Schizosaccharomyces pombe: one gene and its partners. Each later gene encodes a partner of the first gene's protein in a complex. Each region holds a gene or a part of one and is shown in the gene's direction. Other genes may lie near its edges.

Region 1 (4,036 bases):
CGTAAATAGAACCGATACCCACATAATCGGCCCCATCAGCAGCTGCTTTTTCAATTTCCTCGATATTATTAGTGGACACTCCAATAATAGCATCATCGCCAAGAATTTTTCTGGCTAATGCACAATCCATGTCGTCTTGACCAATATGAACACCGTCAGCGCCAACAGCTAATGCCACGTCAATCCTATCATTAATTAGAAAAGGCACGTCGTACTTTTTGCAAATTTCAGAAAGTCGTTTAGCACGTTCTACAAAGCATTTAGTAGAGATGTCTTTTTCTCTGTGCTGAACAAGCGTGACACCTCCCAAAATTCCCTCTTCCACCTGACGTTCTATAGTAGAACCTGGGGCAATTAAACTAGAGCTAGTTACAAGGTATAAAGAATAGTCAATTTGACGTTTCATGTTTGGTATAAAAGTTCTTATATAGAAGTCAAGTAAGTAAACAAAATCCTAGAAATGCCAGATTATGTTGCGGACACCAAAAATTTGACAGTTCAATCTTTCTATGCTAAGAAAAATGAAAATTGAATATTATCCTAATTTAATCAAGAATTTGGCGAAAGTGTTACAAACTATGTTTGCAAATTTTGCTCCATCTTTTATACTGTGTTAGTCATGGTTCGGATGCGTGCTACGACAAGTTAGTGATAACTGATTTTAATCACTCTATTAAAATGTAGTTTGTCAAATGGAACAAATACTGCATGCTTTTGAAGAAAATATATTCGCATTACTTTGAACAGGTTTTAATGAAATGAGTTTATAAAGGAACAGATATATCTTATTAAAAAGGTGCAGAATAACGTTATATTTAATTATTAAAAAGAAAAAAAAATTCATTCATTGTAATAAATACCCGTTAAAGCTATATTATTGAATAAATATGGAACAGCTTAACGTTTGAAGGTCCTAGTCTAATTCTTCTATTGCAGAAGGTGCTGCCTTTTCTAAACTTTCAATTAAAGATTCTACAAGATGAATTGACTCGTCAACGTTTGGCTCTTTTGACCATTGAAAATCGCTAAGGGATGCAATCTGACTAGAAAGAAATTATTAGCAAGCTAAATAAAGCTCAATTAAAACAACCCAAATTCCTAATCAACCTCATACCTATTCATTTTAAGAGTCAATTGTGTGCAGCGCTCTTTTTCCTCATTTAATTTTGTATAAGCAGATTGCACAGCTTCAGAAAGCCGCTCATTGATTTCACTTATGTCCAGCGGTTTTGCACTATGTGATGTGTAAAATTCTTCTACATCGTGCAATGTAGAGGCATGACTGACCGTTTGCAGTTTCTCAACATTTGTTGCCAACATCCTATCTATTCTGCTTTTGCCGATAACTTGACTCTCGAGATGGATGTTAGCTCTCAATTTTGCTAATCGCTTTTGTCTTTGTTGTGTACAGTATTCGTATAAACGCTCAATCAGTGGGTCTTCTCTGTATCTCTGAGGAAACAGTTGCCGCCATTGTTCTAAGCTTATAATAGACTGCAACCGCCCTTGAGAAAGAAGATAATCATTAAGTATTTGTTCCTCCATATTCATGAGCAACCTTTGAGATATTAGTAAATTGAATAAATGAAACGCAGCATTTGATGAAAACTCATGTAGAAAAGCTAATTTTTCCTAAAGTATCCTTTTGACTAAAGCATTTTTTATAATGCGTATTGGGACGTATTTGCTGAACATAATGAAAGTTTATTTTTAATTTATCATTAAAAATCCTAAAACAGTAACTTACTGATAGCACTTTCTCCAAGCATTTTGCAGATGAATGAATTTGTTGCTTAGATAGTATCCTGTTACACCCACCGTTTGTTAATGGGTCTAGATAATTTTTAAAACAAAATAGCTAACTCCTTCAAAGTAGGATAAATTTGCTAAGTGTACTGTTTTGGCACACGTCCTCTTACTTCTAACTCACCACCATACCTACAACGTTGTTGGAATGGCCGTGTCATATAAGGTGAATGAACGTGTACTATGCTTTCACGGCCCGTTACTCTATGAGGCTAAAATTGTTGATACTGAAATGAAAGGTGATGTTACCACGTACCTGATTCATTATAAAGGATGGAAAAACAGTTGGGATGAATGGGTTGAACAAGATAGGATACTACAATGGACAGAAGAAAATTTAAAGACTCAGAAAGAGTTAAAAAATGCCGCTATCTCTACGAGACAAAAACCGACTTCTAAAAAGTCCGCATCCAGCACTTCGAAACATGACTCAACTGGAGTTAAAACATCAGGAAAGAGGTCTCGAGAATCGAGCACCGTAACGGTTGATGGCGATTCACATGAATTGCCTTCACGTATAAAAACCCAAAAATCAGAGTCTCCAATTCCTCAACAAGTGAAACGCGATGGAACAACCGATGCTAAAAACGAGGAAACTACTAAGCCCGAGAATAACGAGAAAGACGATTTTGAGGAAGAGCCACCGCTTCCAAAACACAAGATTAGTGTCCCGGACGTTCTAAAGCTATGGCTTGTTGATGACTGGGAAAACATTACCAAAAATCAACAGTTAATAGCTATACCGCGGAATCCCACCGTCCGGGCTGCTATAGCGGCCTTCCGAGAATCCAAGATTTCTCATTTGAACAATGAAATAGACGTTGATGTTTTTGAACAAGCGATGGCTGGTTTGGTTATATACTTTAATAAGTGCTTGGGCAATATGCTGCTGTATCGGTTTGAACGGCAGCAATATTTAGAAATTCGGCAGCAATATCCTGATACTGAAATGTGTGATTTATATGGCGTCGAACATTTAATTCGCTTGTTTGTAAGCCTTCCTGAATTGATTGACCGGACTAATATGGATTCACAATCCATCGAGTGTTTGTTGAATTACATTGAAGAATTCTTGAAGTATGTTTACTGCTTTTAAACTCCCCTACTATACTAACCATTTATTTAGGTATCTCGTTCTACATAAAGATGAATATTTTATTAAAGAATATCAAAACGCCCCTCCAAACTATAGATCTTTGGTTGGTGTATAAAATTATGATCGTTTGCATCTATCCCAAAGATAACTAAAACGGTAATCTAAAATATATACGTTTTCTTTTTGAGATATAATACACTATTATCTATAGAATGCAGTAGGACCAACATAAGGCATTCAGAGAATTCATGCAATTATTATGTTGTTCCTTAATATTCAGATATTAATCATTTTGCTCTTCAAAGAGACAATTTGCTTCTGCAAATTGCCAATTGGAGTATCAAATTCTAAAGATCCAGAAATTTGACTTCCAAACTGATAAAGTTCTGCATTTACGACACCTTTCATTGCCTGGATGCTCAGGTCTAACGAACTTTCTGCCGGGATACACTGCTGCTCCTGTTCAGTTATATTGGCAACTCTTCTCAATTTTTCTTTAATACAACTCCATTTTTCTATTGTTTTTAAAATTTTTTTATCGTCAACCCGATGTTGTAATGTATCAGTCCGCTTATTGAATCCATCCATAAAATTGTAATAAAGCTTTATGAGTGCCCGTCTAAGGGCCAATGTGTATAACCATTGAGGACGTATGTAATACTAGAATTTGGTGAGTTGGACGTAAATAAGAACCAGTAAATATAAAAACTAACCACAACTTGCTAAGAATGTGTACTTACTTTTGTAATAACGAAAGTCGAGAGACCACTGATAGAAAAAGTATATAATATGTAAATTAAGAAGGACAATAAGCTGGACGAAACTTGTATATTATCTGGAAAAGCTTTAACAGGCGGATTTTCTTTAGGAAGCAAAGGACTTTTGCTTTGAACAGCACTGTTCGAACTCATTTTTAGAATGATCGAAAATTTTGCACTAGTGAAAATATGGATATCAAACCAGTTGAAGAAGAAAATGATAAGCGTAAAAAAGATGGTTAAGCATATAGTGTTGCGGAATAAGTAGTTTGATTGTTCGAAATTAATACGAAGCAGTAAAAAGCAACTTTGCAAAATTAACAGAACAAATGAAATGAATAAGTTTGTTATATCTAACGGATTGTTATTAAAATGT
Region 2 (4,685 bases), 1.0 Mb from region 1:
TGGACCGCTTTGAAACCCAAAATACTATTTCCATCGCAAAAAAGAAGGGTTAAGGGTCGATTTACTTTCCCTTTCAGTCGAAGAAGTAATTTAGCCCAATCTAAACTTCCGGTTGATTTGGTGCCTATTAGACTTGAAATAGATGCTGATCGCTACAAATTAAGAGACTCCTTTACGTGGAATTTGTACGACAAGTGTATTTCATTAGATCAATTTGCTGAACAGATCTGCATTGATTATGATATTCCACTGCATAATGTACATATTGTTCAAAATATTTCAAAGAGTATTCAAGCTCAAATAAATGACTATGAGCCGCGTAAGGCTCAGTCTAATTTAAGTTTTGTTTCAGATGTTAGTTCGTCTACCTCAGAGACTGTTTATGCGCACGAACCGTCAGATTCGTTGGCTAAAGCTTCCAAGCAACAAATTCCAACTGTACAAAACGATTTGAGGATATTGATCAAGCTTGATATTACCATTGGTCGGCTGAATCTTATTGACCAATTTGAATGGAATTTGTTTGCTCCTGAAAGCAGCGCTGAGGAATTTGCTACTGTGATGTGCTTAGATCTAGGATTGTCAGGAGAATTTTGTACAGCTGTAGCTCACTCAATTCGTGAGCAGTGCCAAATGTACATAAAATATTTAAGCCTTATAGGATATTTGTTTGACGGAAGTGAAATCGAAGACGAGGAAGTTCGCTCTTACATTTTACCTCCTCTTAAAAACACACTACGGTTCTCTGACATGGAATCCTCCTCCTTTGCCCCAATGATTTACGAGCTAAACGATGCTGAAATGGAACGGCAGGATAGAGGTTATGATAGGGAAGCACGTCGTATGCGGCGTAGACAAGGAAGGGCAAAACACGGGATTATGTTACCAGATCTTCGGGACATTCCTAAAATACATCGAAGTCTCTTCCCCAGTTCATCGGTCCCCTCGGATGATGACTTTATGCATGCTTTAAGTTTATCTACAAATTCTGATGGCGAGACACTTAACGAAATTAATACTAATAATCCTGAAAGAGAACATTTAATTGTGCGTCTAAAAGTTGACTCTCAGAAACTAAAAATAATCGTTGAACAATCACAAACCTTAACCCTCAATAACTTCCAACAACGGAAACTCACTCCCTTGCCCAATTCCATGAGTTTTGACTCACTAAACGAATTTGAAAGTGAAAGGAACACACCTTCTACATATGGGCAAAATATTTCGCCATTACCACAATTTTCGTCTCCTAGCCTTTCTTCTGACGCGTTTCTTACTAACAGCAATTCTTCTGAATCCGCTTTGGTTCATATGCAAAAGTTAAATTTACCTGATTTTACCCCTTCCTGGGTTAAACGATGTGTTATAGAGACATTTGCAAAATTTCCGAATGATCGATTTAATGTTATCGTAAAACCTGCTTTAAATCCTGCTGAAAGGATGACTGTGAGAATATGTTGTCATGATTGCATTAATGAGTATTTTACAGCCGGCCCAGGATTCACGTTTGGCAATTTCCATATCCACTTGTTGTCAAGCTCGCATCAACAAAAAAAGGAGGTGAGAATGAATACGGTTTTGGATAGAAATACTTAATACAATTTTGGAAGAATCTTTATCAAAGACCATAATCAAGATTTGACTCACGTTATGGATAGCTCGACGGACCAGTTTCTTTCAGTTGATAGCTTCTGTTACAAATGAGGCACTCTATCCTCAATACGATTAATTTATTAAATTTGAGGAAATACACTGTATATTATTCAAAGGCTTATTAATCCTTAATGTTCAGTCATGTGGCTAAATTTAAAGTATGTACGGGTAACCGATGAATCAAATTACTTTACAGCCTTCATTTCAGTTTTTGGAAATTATAATATTTTTGATATTTAAACAAAATAACTAACAAATCTTTCTTTTCGGTTTATAGCAGTCTTTCCTTGTTTCTCGTTAAATTCATCTTTGCTAGCATAAATCTTCATTGTATGTTCACACTACACGACGTCCACGTTTTCATCAATGGATGCAAAACCATGGAATCATACATCAGAAGCCTTTCAAGCTTCTATTTTGGAAGATCTTAAAATTATTCAAAAAGCCGGTGCTGAAAGGAATGCAAAGAGTTCGCATGGGTCAATAAATTCCAGGAGCGCTTCACCGAATAAAGCGACCTCGAGAAGAAATAGGGCCCAAAACGGCAACTCTAATGGTAGAGCCTCAGTTGATAACTCTGACGATGGAAGCAAGGATGATTTAGATTATTCTCCTTCTGTTAAGAGAAAGCATGTGAATGGTGAAGGTGCAGAAAAAGGTGATCATGATACATCTAACAACGGACCTAGTATTACTAAGTTAAGAAGAAAAGTTAGGAGAACCTATGATACTAAGGATGGATTTGTGGCTTGGAATACATTGGATGATGACTTTCGTCCTATAGTACCCGATCAAGAGAGATCACGAAAAATCAACCCCCAGAAAGGAAATAATAATAATCTCCTTAAAGAGAATAAGTCTCTAAAAACAACGGCTAAAGACTTATCTGATATCTCTAGTTCATCGATGAAGAAAGCGAATAACTCTTCCAAACCTCTTTTTTCTGGGAAGCTAACTTTCAAGGCTAACATTCCTGTTCCTACCTCTGAGGTCGTAACGGAGAATAATGTTACACGAAATGTTACCGTGTATTCCAACCAAAAACATTTAGGTAATGAATCAGAGAATTTTAACGACATGGAGGGCCGGGCCGAAGACATTAGTAGCAATGAATTACTTCCTACCCCTGAAGAATATCCATACAGATATAACAATGATTACTGCTCCGCATGTCATGGTCCAGGCAATTTTTTGTGTTGTGAAACATGCCCGAATAGTTTTCATTTTACTTGTATAGATCCGCCTATCGAAGAAAAAAATTTACCAGATGACGCTTGGTATTGCAATGAATGTAAACACCATAGCTTGTACAATGAATTGGATGAGCAAGAAGAATTGGAAAGTAATGTCAAAGAAGAAGGAACGATGGTTGATGTGTGGATGCAACTTTGTACATATATTGATTCTCACAATCCTATTCAGTTTCATCTTCCTCATTCAATTAGCAGCTTTTTTAGAGGTGTCGGAAGTGGAGTGATGGGTGAATATATCGAGACGGATGTTTTGAAGCATCTTAAATCTAGCCGAAGAAGCAATGGAGAAGAACGTGATCCTTTGCTTTTGAAGAGTAAAAGTGGTACTCCCATTTTATGTTTTCGTTGTCATAAATCGGCTCTGGTCTCTCAGAGTATACTAGCTTGCGATTATTGTAACTCCTACTGGCATCCCGATTGTTTAAATCCTCCACTCGCAACTTTGCCTTCGAATCTCCGGAAGTGGAAATGTCCTAACCATAGCGATCATGTCACGCCTCGGTATAGGTTACCTGAAAAAGCAAAGGTTATTCGTGTCGGTTTACCTCGTGGTTTCAAAAATAAAGGAAATATAGTTATTGATGAAAATGAGGATGAACCATCTGTGCAAACAATACAACTACAGGGAAAAATACGTGTGGTACCTAGTAAACCGTTTAAGTTGAACTTTTTAGAACAAATACGTGATAACGTTATTAATTTACGTAAAATGGTTGAGCAGGATGAACAACTATGTATTGAAACCTTTTCCAAATTTGACTTTTATGCAACCCGTGATTGTGAATTGCCTTTGCGAATCCTTTGCGATGTTGCCAATGACAACTTAGAAAATGATGATTATGTTTTGGCTTTAAGGGATCTTTTGAGAATTTCTAAATGGGATCCTAATCAACCCGTTCCTGCACCTTTTGATTTGGCTAACTTATTAAGCTATTGAAAGATAGCATAGCACCTCGATTCTTTCAAGTGCGGTGTCTTCGACGTTGAAATGTCTTAATATTTATGCCTATCTAACCATGAATGATACGATTTCATATATGAATGGTTTTATTTTTTTTCTTTATTTTTGGTATTGCGAAGGTGCTTCCAATTAGTGAATTGTGATCGAAGTGTGGTATTCAAAAAGTCTCCTTGGGAAAGGTGCAGGCATTTTTCCTTAATTGTAAATTTAATTAAGTTGTATATGCAATTATGCTGTGCAACAAATACTTTAACTTATAGTTGAACTGCAAAATTAAGAAAAGTTACGTTACAAAATGGAGTACAGAAATAAGCCAAATTTTATCACGTTTAATTATTCTTATTTGAATGCTTTAACGTGTAGTATTTTTGTATATTGAATTATTAGTTTCACCGTAGAACTGTTGATACAACTAAAGAATTCTTTGGGATAAGTTGAATTACAAGCAAATGATTGCGATAAACTGGATAGAATGCAAAGCGATTTGCAATAGTACTTAAACAATAGCACAGAAATAATAAAGAAACTGTATGATAGTGTAATTTCAAAAGTAGTTTGCTTACGTATTATTAACATTTTTTTTATTCCTTTTAATGTGTCATTATTAGCACATAAGGAAAAGTTGCATTGCTCTAAAATAAAATTACCTTAAAACATGTCGGTTTCATCATCATGTCTATCATTGCTTTGTAACTTAGTAGATGCTTTATTGTGCCTTTAGCTTGTTTTTATTTTCCATATTAGTTTGTTCTAAGAATTGGGTAACCTCGAAATTTATTACAAGGTCAATTAATAGGCAATACGTTTTTTGTTCCCTT
Region 3 (6,145 bases), 570 kb from region 1:
TTCTCAAAAGCCTCCTTTTTAATTTACTATCAAAAACGGCAGTTTTGGCAGTTTTTTGAAGGTTTATTGGTTTAATTAATTTATTCTGTAAAAACAAGGAAAGCAAAATTACAGATATTTGATTCTTTAGATTTTCTTAAACCCTCTCGCATCTTCGTCTTATTTTGGCTTTTTTTTTTGTTAAATATAGCAAGTTTGCGCCTCTTTTATTTAAATTCATTTTTAAAAAGCCACCTTTCATTCTAAATTTACCTTATTCCTTTTTCTCCCTGTGAAATTCAACCCTTACCATTTTTTTGAAATTGGTGACTTTTCGTTTTCAAACTATGTTCGACCTCGCAAGACAAACTCGGATTATCCTTTTATTAGGTATTGATGTTACTTTTTTCTTCATCGAAATTATTACTGGTTATGCGATCGATTCACTTGCCCTAATTGCTGATTCATTTCATATGTTAAATGACATTGTCAGTTTACTGGTCGCTCTCTGGGCTACTCGTCTAGCACATTCAACATCTCACGAACCAAAATACACATATGGCTGGCAACGTGCAGAGATTTTAGGTGCTTTGTCGAACGGTGTATTTCTCATTGCCCTTTGCATGTTCATTTTTATGGAAGCCATAGAGCGCTTCATTGAGCCTCCTTCTGTCAGCAATCCCACCCTTATGTTCTTTGTTGGTTCTTTAGGTCTGCTAAGCAATTTCGTTGGTATCTTTTTATTTCATGACCATGGTCATGATCATCCTCACACCCATACCGCTCAAAATTACGATTTTCCTGAAGAAGATGATATTGAATCCGTTTTACCTTCGACTATCGTTCATCGTTGTAATACCAGTCAACAAGAAGTCAGCCATACACACACTCAAGTCGCAGACTCTGCTACCGAATCTTCTCCTTTATTGAGTTACACTGGTAATCATAATGGTGCTGGTACTTCAAAGCCAGTCAACAACCATGGCAGTATTGAACAAGATGCACCAAAACAAACGAAGAAACGAAATTTGAATATGCATGGTGTCTTTCTTCATGTCTTGGGTGATGCTCTCGGTAATATTGGTGTTATTAGTGCTGCTTTATTCATCAAGTATACTGACTATTCTTGGCGTTTCCTCTTTGACCCATGCATTAGTATCCTTCTTACTTTCATTATTCTTTTTAGCGCAATTCCTCTCTGTAAATCCGCTGCTCTCATCTTATTACAAGTTGCTCCTCAAAGCATCAAACTGGATGATGTTTCCAACCTAATTAATCATCTAGACGGCGTGGAATCTGTTCATGAACTCCACATCTGGCAGCTTTCGGACGTTAAATTAATTGCCACTGTTCATGTCTGCGTTACACTTCCTGATGATAAGGGAGAGTCTTATACAAAGCTTACTACGGATATCCGTAATGTCCTTCAATCTTTTGGTATATATGATGTTACCATTCAACCAGAATTCGCCAATCATCCGCTTTTATGTGACCAAGGTTCCTCGTCTTAGTTTGCGAACATTATAAATTTAACGTGGTTAATCTATTGTGTCACATCTTTTGATTTATTCTTGAGGTAAAATTTTATATTGAATGTTTACTTTGTTTCATTTTTAAAGCGTAATTTCTTCTGCCATTCCTGTTCGTATTTAAAAACTTTATTTCACCATCTTGGTTGTTTGTTTTGCGAATGCACTTAAGTAAAGTAGTCGACAACTTAACTTTGAAAGTAGATAGTTTTCGATTTCTTATTCTTGATGAAGACGATGCATAGTTTCGGTTTTATTAAATCTCTATTATTCTTAGAAAATAATGTTTAGATGTAGTGTTTAATTATTTAAAAGGAATATTTTTTAACAATTATATTGGGTTTGATTCTTCTCGTTAGTATTTTTTCTAAAGTATTCGTTGTAAGTGTAAAACACCATCCAATGTGGTATTTGTGTTCATGTCTTGATAAATCATTTGAACTTTGGCTATCAGCGTCAGTTCATGTAATGCGTTGACGAGTTTGTGCGCTTAGTTGCATTTGCCGTTTCCCAAATCATCACCTCCAAAATAAACGAGATCGTATTCCTAGTCATTTGATGGTTAAAGATCAAAATACATGGAACAAACACTAGCGATATTAAAAAATGGTACGTATCAATTTAATACATAACTCATTTTAACCAATGTTGTTAGACAACTCAACGTTAGTGGCCGAGATGCAGAATCAATTAGTCCATGATTTTTCCCCTAATGGTACCGCACTCCCCGAGCTTGATATAAAGGCATTCGTTCAAAAGTTGGGTCAAAGACTGTGTCATCGTCCTTATGTTTATAGCGCTTTCATGGATGTTGTGAAGGCTTTACACAATGAAATGTATATATGGCTTATTTACTGAGTTGCTTTGAGATAGCTCTTTTTTTATTACTATTCACTTATTAACATGAACATTAGTGTCGATTTTCCCGGGTTTATTGAAAGAATATCTGTAATCTTAAGAGATTACCCAGATCTTTTAGAATATTTGAACATCTTTTTGCCCTCGTCTTATAAATACCTTTTATCGAATAGCGGTGCCAACTTCACATTGCAATTTACCACCCCATCTGGTCCAGTTTCTACACCGTCTACTTATGTAGCTACTTACAACGACTTACCTTGTACCTATCATAGAGCTATAGGATTTGTTTCACGAGTTCGACGAGCATTATTGAGCAATCCCGAACAGTTCTTTAAATTACAGGATAGTCTTCGTAAGTTTAAAAACTCTGAGTGTTCGCTTTCTGAGCTTCAGACTATTGTAACGTCTTTGCTAGCGGAGCATCCATCTTTAGCCCACGAGTTTCACAACTTTTTACCAAGCTCCATCTTTTTTGGGAGTAAACCTCCTCTAGGATCGTTTCCATTAAGAGGAATTCAGAGTTCCCAATTTACGTTGAGTAATATTTCTGATTTGCTTAGTCAATCAAGGCCGGACAACCTCTCACCATTTTCACATTTATCAAATGAGAGCAGTGACTTTTTCAAAAATGTGAAAAATGTACTTACCGATGTAGAAACTTACCACGAATTTTTAAAACTCCTGAATTTGTACGTTCAAGGGATAATTGATAGAAATATTCTGGTGAGTCGTGGGTTTGGGTTTCTTAAATCGAATTCGGGACTTTGGAGAAGCTTTTTAAGCCTTACTAGTTTGAGTCCGGAAGAGTTTTTATCTGTATACAATTCCGCTTGCTCAGACTTCCCGGAATGTGGCCCGAGTTACCGATTGCTTCCTGTCGAAGAACGCAATATTTCTTGCAGCGGTAGAGATGATTTTGCATGGGGTATACTTAATGATGACTGGGTCAGTCATCCAACTTGGGCATCTGAAGAAAGCGGTTTCATTGTTCAGAGGAAAACGCCTTATGAAGAGGCAATGACAAAGTTGGAAGAGGAACGTTATGAATTTGATCGGCATATTGAAGCTACTTCCTGGACAATCAAGTCTCTTAAAAAAATTCAGAACCGTATAAATGAATTGCCGGAAGAGGAAAGAGAAACATATACTCTCGAGGAAGGGCTAGGTTTACCATCAAAAAGTATATACAAGAAAACTATTAAGCTTGTTTATACCAGTGAGCATGCAGAGGAAATGTTTAAGGCCTTGGAAAGAATGCCTTGCCTCACATTACCATTGGTAATCAGCAGATTAGAAGAAAAAAACGAAGAGTGGAAGTCTGTTAAAAGAAGTCTTCAACCTGGATGGCGAAGTATTGAGTTTAAAAATTACGATAAGAGCTTAGATTCACAATGCGTTTATTTTAAGGCAAGAGATAAGAAGAATGTATCTTCAAAGTTTCTCTTAGCAGAAGCCGACATTCTACGATCGCAAGCGAAGCTCCATTTTCCTTTGCGAAGTAGATCAGCTTTCGAATTTTCTTTTGTATATGACAACGAAATAGTACTTTTTGATACTTGTTATATGGTATGCACATACATTGTATGTAACTCTCCCTCTGGTTTAAAGAAAGTTGAGCATTTTTTCAAGAATATATTGCCTTTACATTTTGGTCTTGAAAAGGATAAATTTTCGATATTCCTGGATCAAGTTTTTCGTGGTCCTGATTACGATGTGAATGCCCCGAATATAGTTGGTAACAAGCCTGTACGTCGGAAAAGATCTAATTCTATAACCCAGTTGACGGAATTTGTAAAACAACCTAAAATCAATGGTCAACGCGAAAGTCGTTCAGCTGCAGCTGCTCGCAAAAAAGAAGAATCCGGTAACAAATCACAATCTAACTCTCAAAACTCTTTAAGTGATGAATCTGGAAACGTAACGCCGGTTTCTAAGAAACAGCTTTCACAACCTGCTGCAGCCATTAAAGCCAGTCTCAAATATCCAAGTCATCCAGATAGTCTTTTGGAACATCAAGATCATGCTGGTGATACGGAGAATGAAATGCATGACGACGTCGATAAAGAACAGTTTGGATATTCTTCTATGTACGTATTTTTTAGACTTTTTAACTTATTATACGAAAGGCTTTATGAGCTTCAGCGTTTGGAGGATCAAGTGTCCATTATCCAACAGCGTATAATACCAAACCCAGTATCTCAAAAACAAAAGATTTGGCGCGATAGGTGGAATGATCTTTCAGATGTCCCTGATGAAAAAACTCATTACGAAAATACTTATGTGATGATTCTTCGATTAATATATGGGATAGTTGATCAAAGTGCCTTCGAGGACTATCTGCGGTTTTATTATGGCAATAAAGCCTATAAAATATATACTATTGATAAACTCGTTTGGTCTGCTGCTAAACAAGTCCACCACATCGTTTCCGATGGAAAATACAAATTCGTTACTAGTTTAGTCGAACAAAATAGTTCTGCTTCGCCTAAGAAGAATTATGATGACTTTCTTTATCGCTTGGAAATTGAAAAGCTTTTGAATCCTGATGAAATTTTGTTTCGATTTTGTTGGATAAACAAATTTAAATCATTTGGAATCAAAATAATGAAGCGAGCGAATCTTATTGTGGATCAAAGTTTGGATACACAGAGACGAGTTTGGAAAAAATATGTTCAAAATTATCGTATACAAAAACTTACTGAAGAAATATCTTATAAAAATTATCGTTGTCCCTTTCTTTGCAGAAATATAGAGAAAGAAAGAACAGTTGAGCAATTGGTTTCACGCCTTCAAACAAAGTTATTAAGATCTGCAGAATTGGTTTCCGGATTGCAAGCAAAATTATGTTTAGACTCGTTTAAATTGCTCTACTTACCACGCACAGAAGATTCTTACATAGATGCATCTTACCTGCGCCTTAGAGATACCGACTTCCTTGATTGCCAGAATAAAAGAAAACAGCGTTGGAGAAATCGATGGGAATCGTTATTAAAATCGGTTAGGGGAACTTCTGACAACACGGCAGAGGTGAATTTTGATGCTGACATTAATGCACTATTTATCCCATAATGATTTTAATGCAGTCGACCTACCTATTGATCATATTTACTTAAATACAATTTGACTTTAATAGTTTTATATTACTTTGTTAACATAACTTATCTTTCTAGGTATTTTATAATTTCAAGGATTTATGTATAGTACGAATTTACTGAAATTTTTGCACATAAGCTTTGTATTAAATTTTCTAAAGCCGTACTTCTGTAATTACTACATAAAATATTACAATGCACAGATTTTTATTTACAAACAAGCGGTTGTCGTAGCAACCACTTTGTTTACCCTCAAAAGTTACCACCTGCGTTTTGTTAGAAACAAATACCAAATGGCGAGTGTTGCAATTAAAGAGCCCAAAACTGCTATAACCCCGAAGAAGAAGTCCAAAGCCTCTCGTCTTTGCTTTACTCCGCCAACTAATCTTCATAATAATAAAAAAAATATATTCTACACTCGCTACGATTGCATTGGTGAAGGCGGCTTTGCGAGATGTTTTCGAGTCAAAGATAATTATGGAAATATTTACGCTGCTAAAGTTATTGCTAAAAGGTCACTACAAAATGATAAAACAAAGCTGAAGCTCTTTGGAGAAATAAAGGTGCACCAATCCATGAGTCATCCAAACATCGTAGGATTTATAGATTGTTTTGAAGATTCGACGAATATTTACTTAATTTTGGAGCTTTGTGAACATAAATCTTTAATGGAACTTTTACGTA

What was found.
Region 2: the proteins of alp13 (region 1) and cph2 are in contact, whole or in part, in a cryo-EM structure (PDB 8I02), measured with the Schizosaccharomyces pombe proteins. Residues at the interface, in NP_593394.1 of Schizosaccharomyces pombe: Asp176 (codon at 2,480), Lys179 (codon at 2,489), Leu180 (codon at 2,492), Leu182 (codon at 2,498), Val183 (codon at 2,501), Asp184 (codon at 2,504), Trp186 (codon at 2,510), Glu187 (codon at 2,513), Thr190 (codon at 2,522), Lys191 (codon at 2,525), Val227 (codon at 2,633), Gln230 (codon at 2,642), Gly234 (codon at 2,654), Leu235 (codon at 2,657), Ile237 (codon at 2,663), Tyr238 (codon at 2,666), Lys241 (codon at 2,675), Cys242 (codon at 2,678), Asn245 (codon at 2,687), Met246 (codon at 2,690), Leu247 (codon at 2,693), Leu248 (codon at 2,696), Tyr249 (codon at 2,699), Arg250 (codon at 2,702), Arg253 (codon at 2,711), Gln254 (codon at 2,714), Tyr256 (codon at 2,720), Leu257 (codon at 2,723), Arg260 (codon at 2,732), Gln261 (codon at 2,735); in NP_592978.1 of Schizosaccharomyces pombe: Cys269 (codon at 2,824), His286 (codon at 2,875), Thr288 (codon at 2,881), Cys289 (codon at 2,884), Ile290 (codon at 2,887), Asp291 (codon at 2,890), Pro292 (codon at 2,893), Pro293 (codon at 2,896), Ile294 (codon at 2,899), Glu295 (codon at 2,902), Thr333 (codon at 3,016), Met334 (codon at 3,019), Val335 (codon at 3,022), Trp338 (codon at 3,031), Met339 (codon at 3,034), Leu341 (codon at 3,040), Cys342 (codon at 3,043), Ile345 (codon at 3,052), Asp346 (codon at 3,055), Pro350 (codon at 3,067), Ile351 (codon at 3,070), Gln352 (codon at 3,073), Phe353 (codon at 3,076), His354 (codon at 3,079), Leu355 (codon at 3,082), Pro356 (codon at 3,085), Ser358 (codon at 3,091), Ile359 (codon at 3,094), Ser360 (codon at 3,097), Phe362 (codon at 3,103).
Region 3: the proteins of alp13 (region 1) and pst2 are in contact, whole or in part, in a cryo-EM structure (PDB 8IFG), measured with the Schizosaccharomyces pombe proteins. Residues at the interface, in NP_593394.1 of Schizosaccharomyces pombe: Asn192 (codon at 2,528), Gln193 (codon at 2,531), Gln325 (codon at 2,976), Asn326 (codon at 2,979), Ala327 (codon at 2,982), Pro328 (codon at 2,985), Pro329 (codon at 2,988), Arg332 (codon at 2,997); in NP_593646.1 of Schizosaccharomyces pombe: Arg342 (codon at 3,234), Leu343 (codon at 3,237), Pro345 (codon at 3,243), Glu347 (codon at 3,249), Glu348 (codon at 3,252), Val369 (codon at 3,315), Trp374 (codon at 3,330).

Annotation. Positions count from the first base shown.
Region 1 is NC_003424.3:1,586,470-1,590,505, reverse strand, and holds alp13 (Clr6 histone deacetylase complex, chromodomain subunit Alp13/Eaf3), read left to right. Parts: upstream 1-1,928; 5' UTR 1,929-1,954; coding exon 1,955-2,883; intron 2,884-2,932; coding exon 2,933-3,017; 3' UTR 3,018-3,178; downstream 3,179-4,036. Other genes in the region: thi4 (bifunctional thiamine-phosphate dipyrophosphorylase/hydroxyethylthiazole kinase), read right to left, coding at 1-406; centromere localized protein Cnl2, read right to left, coding at 914-1,043, 1,115-1,551; SPOM_SPAC23H4.13C (uncharacterized protein), read right to left, coding at 3,179-3,562, 3,643-3,813; SPOM_SPAC23H4.21 (uncharacterized protein), read left to right, coding at 4,033-4,036.
Region 2 is NC_003424.3:543,575-548,259, reverse strand, and holds cph2 (Clr6 histone deacetylase-associated PHD protein-2 Cph2), read left to right. Parts: upstream 1-2,000; 5' UTR 2,001-2,019; coding exon 2,020-3,843; 3' UTR 3,844-4,133; downstream 4,134-4,685. Other genes in the region: SWI/SNF complex subunit Snf5, read left to right, coding at 1-1,596.
Region 3 is NC_003424.3:2,158,486-2,164,630, forward strand, and holds pst2 (Clr6 histone deacetylase complex subunit Pst2), read left to right. Parts: upstream 1-2,000; 5' UTR 2,001-2,086; coding exon 2,087-2,117; exon of another isoform or gene 2,118-2,163; coding exon 2,164-2,344; exon of another isoform or gene 2,345-2,422; coding exon 2,423-5,438; 3' UTR 5,439-5,593; downstream 5,594-6,145. Other genes in the region: ER zinc importer, CDF family, Zhf1, read left to right, coding at 327-1,490; Polo kinase Plo1, read left to right, coding at 5,755-6,145. UniProt on the Schizosaccharomyces pombe protein: Has a role in chromatin assembly and chromosome segregation. Involved in the deacetylation of histones.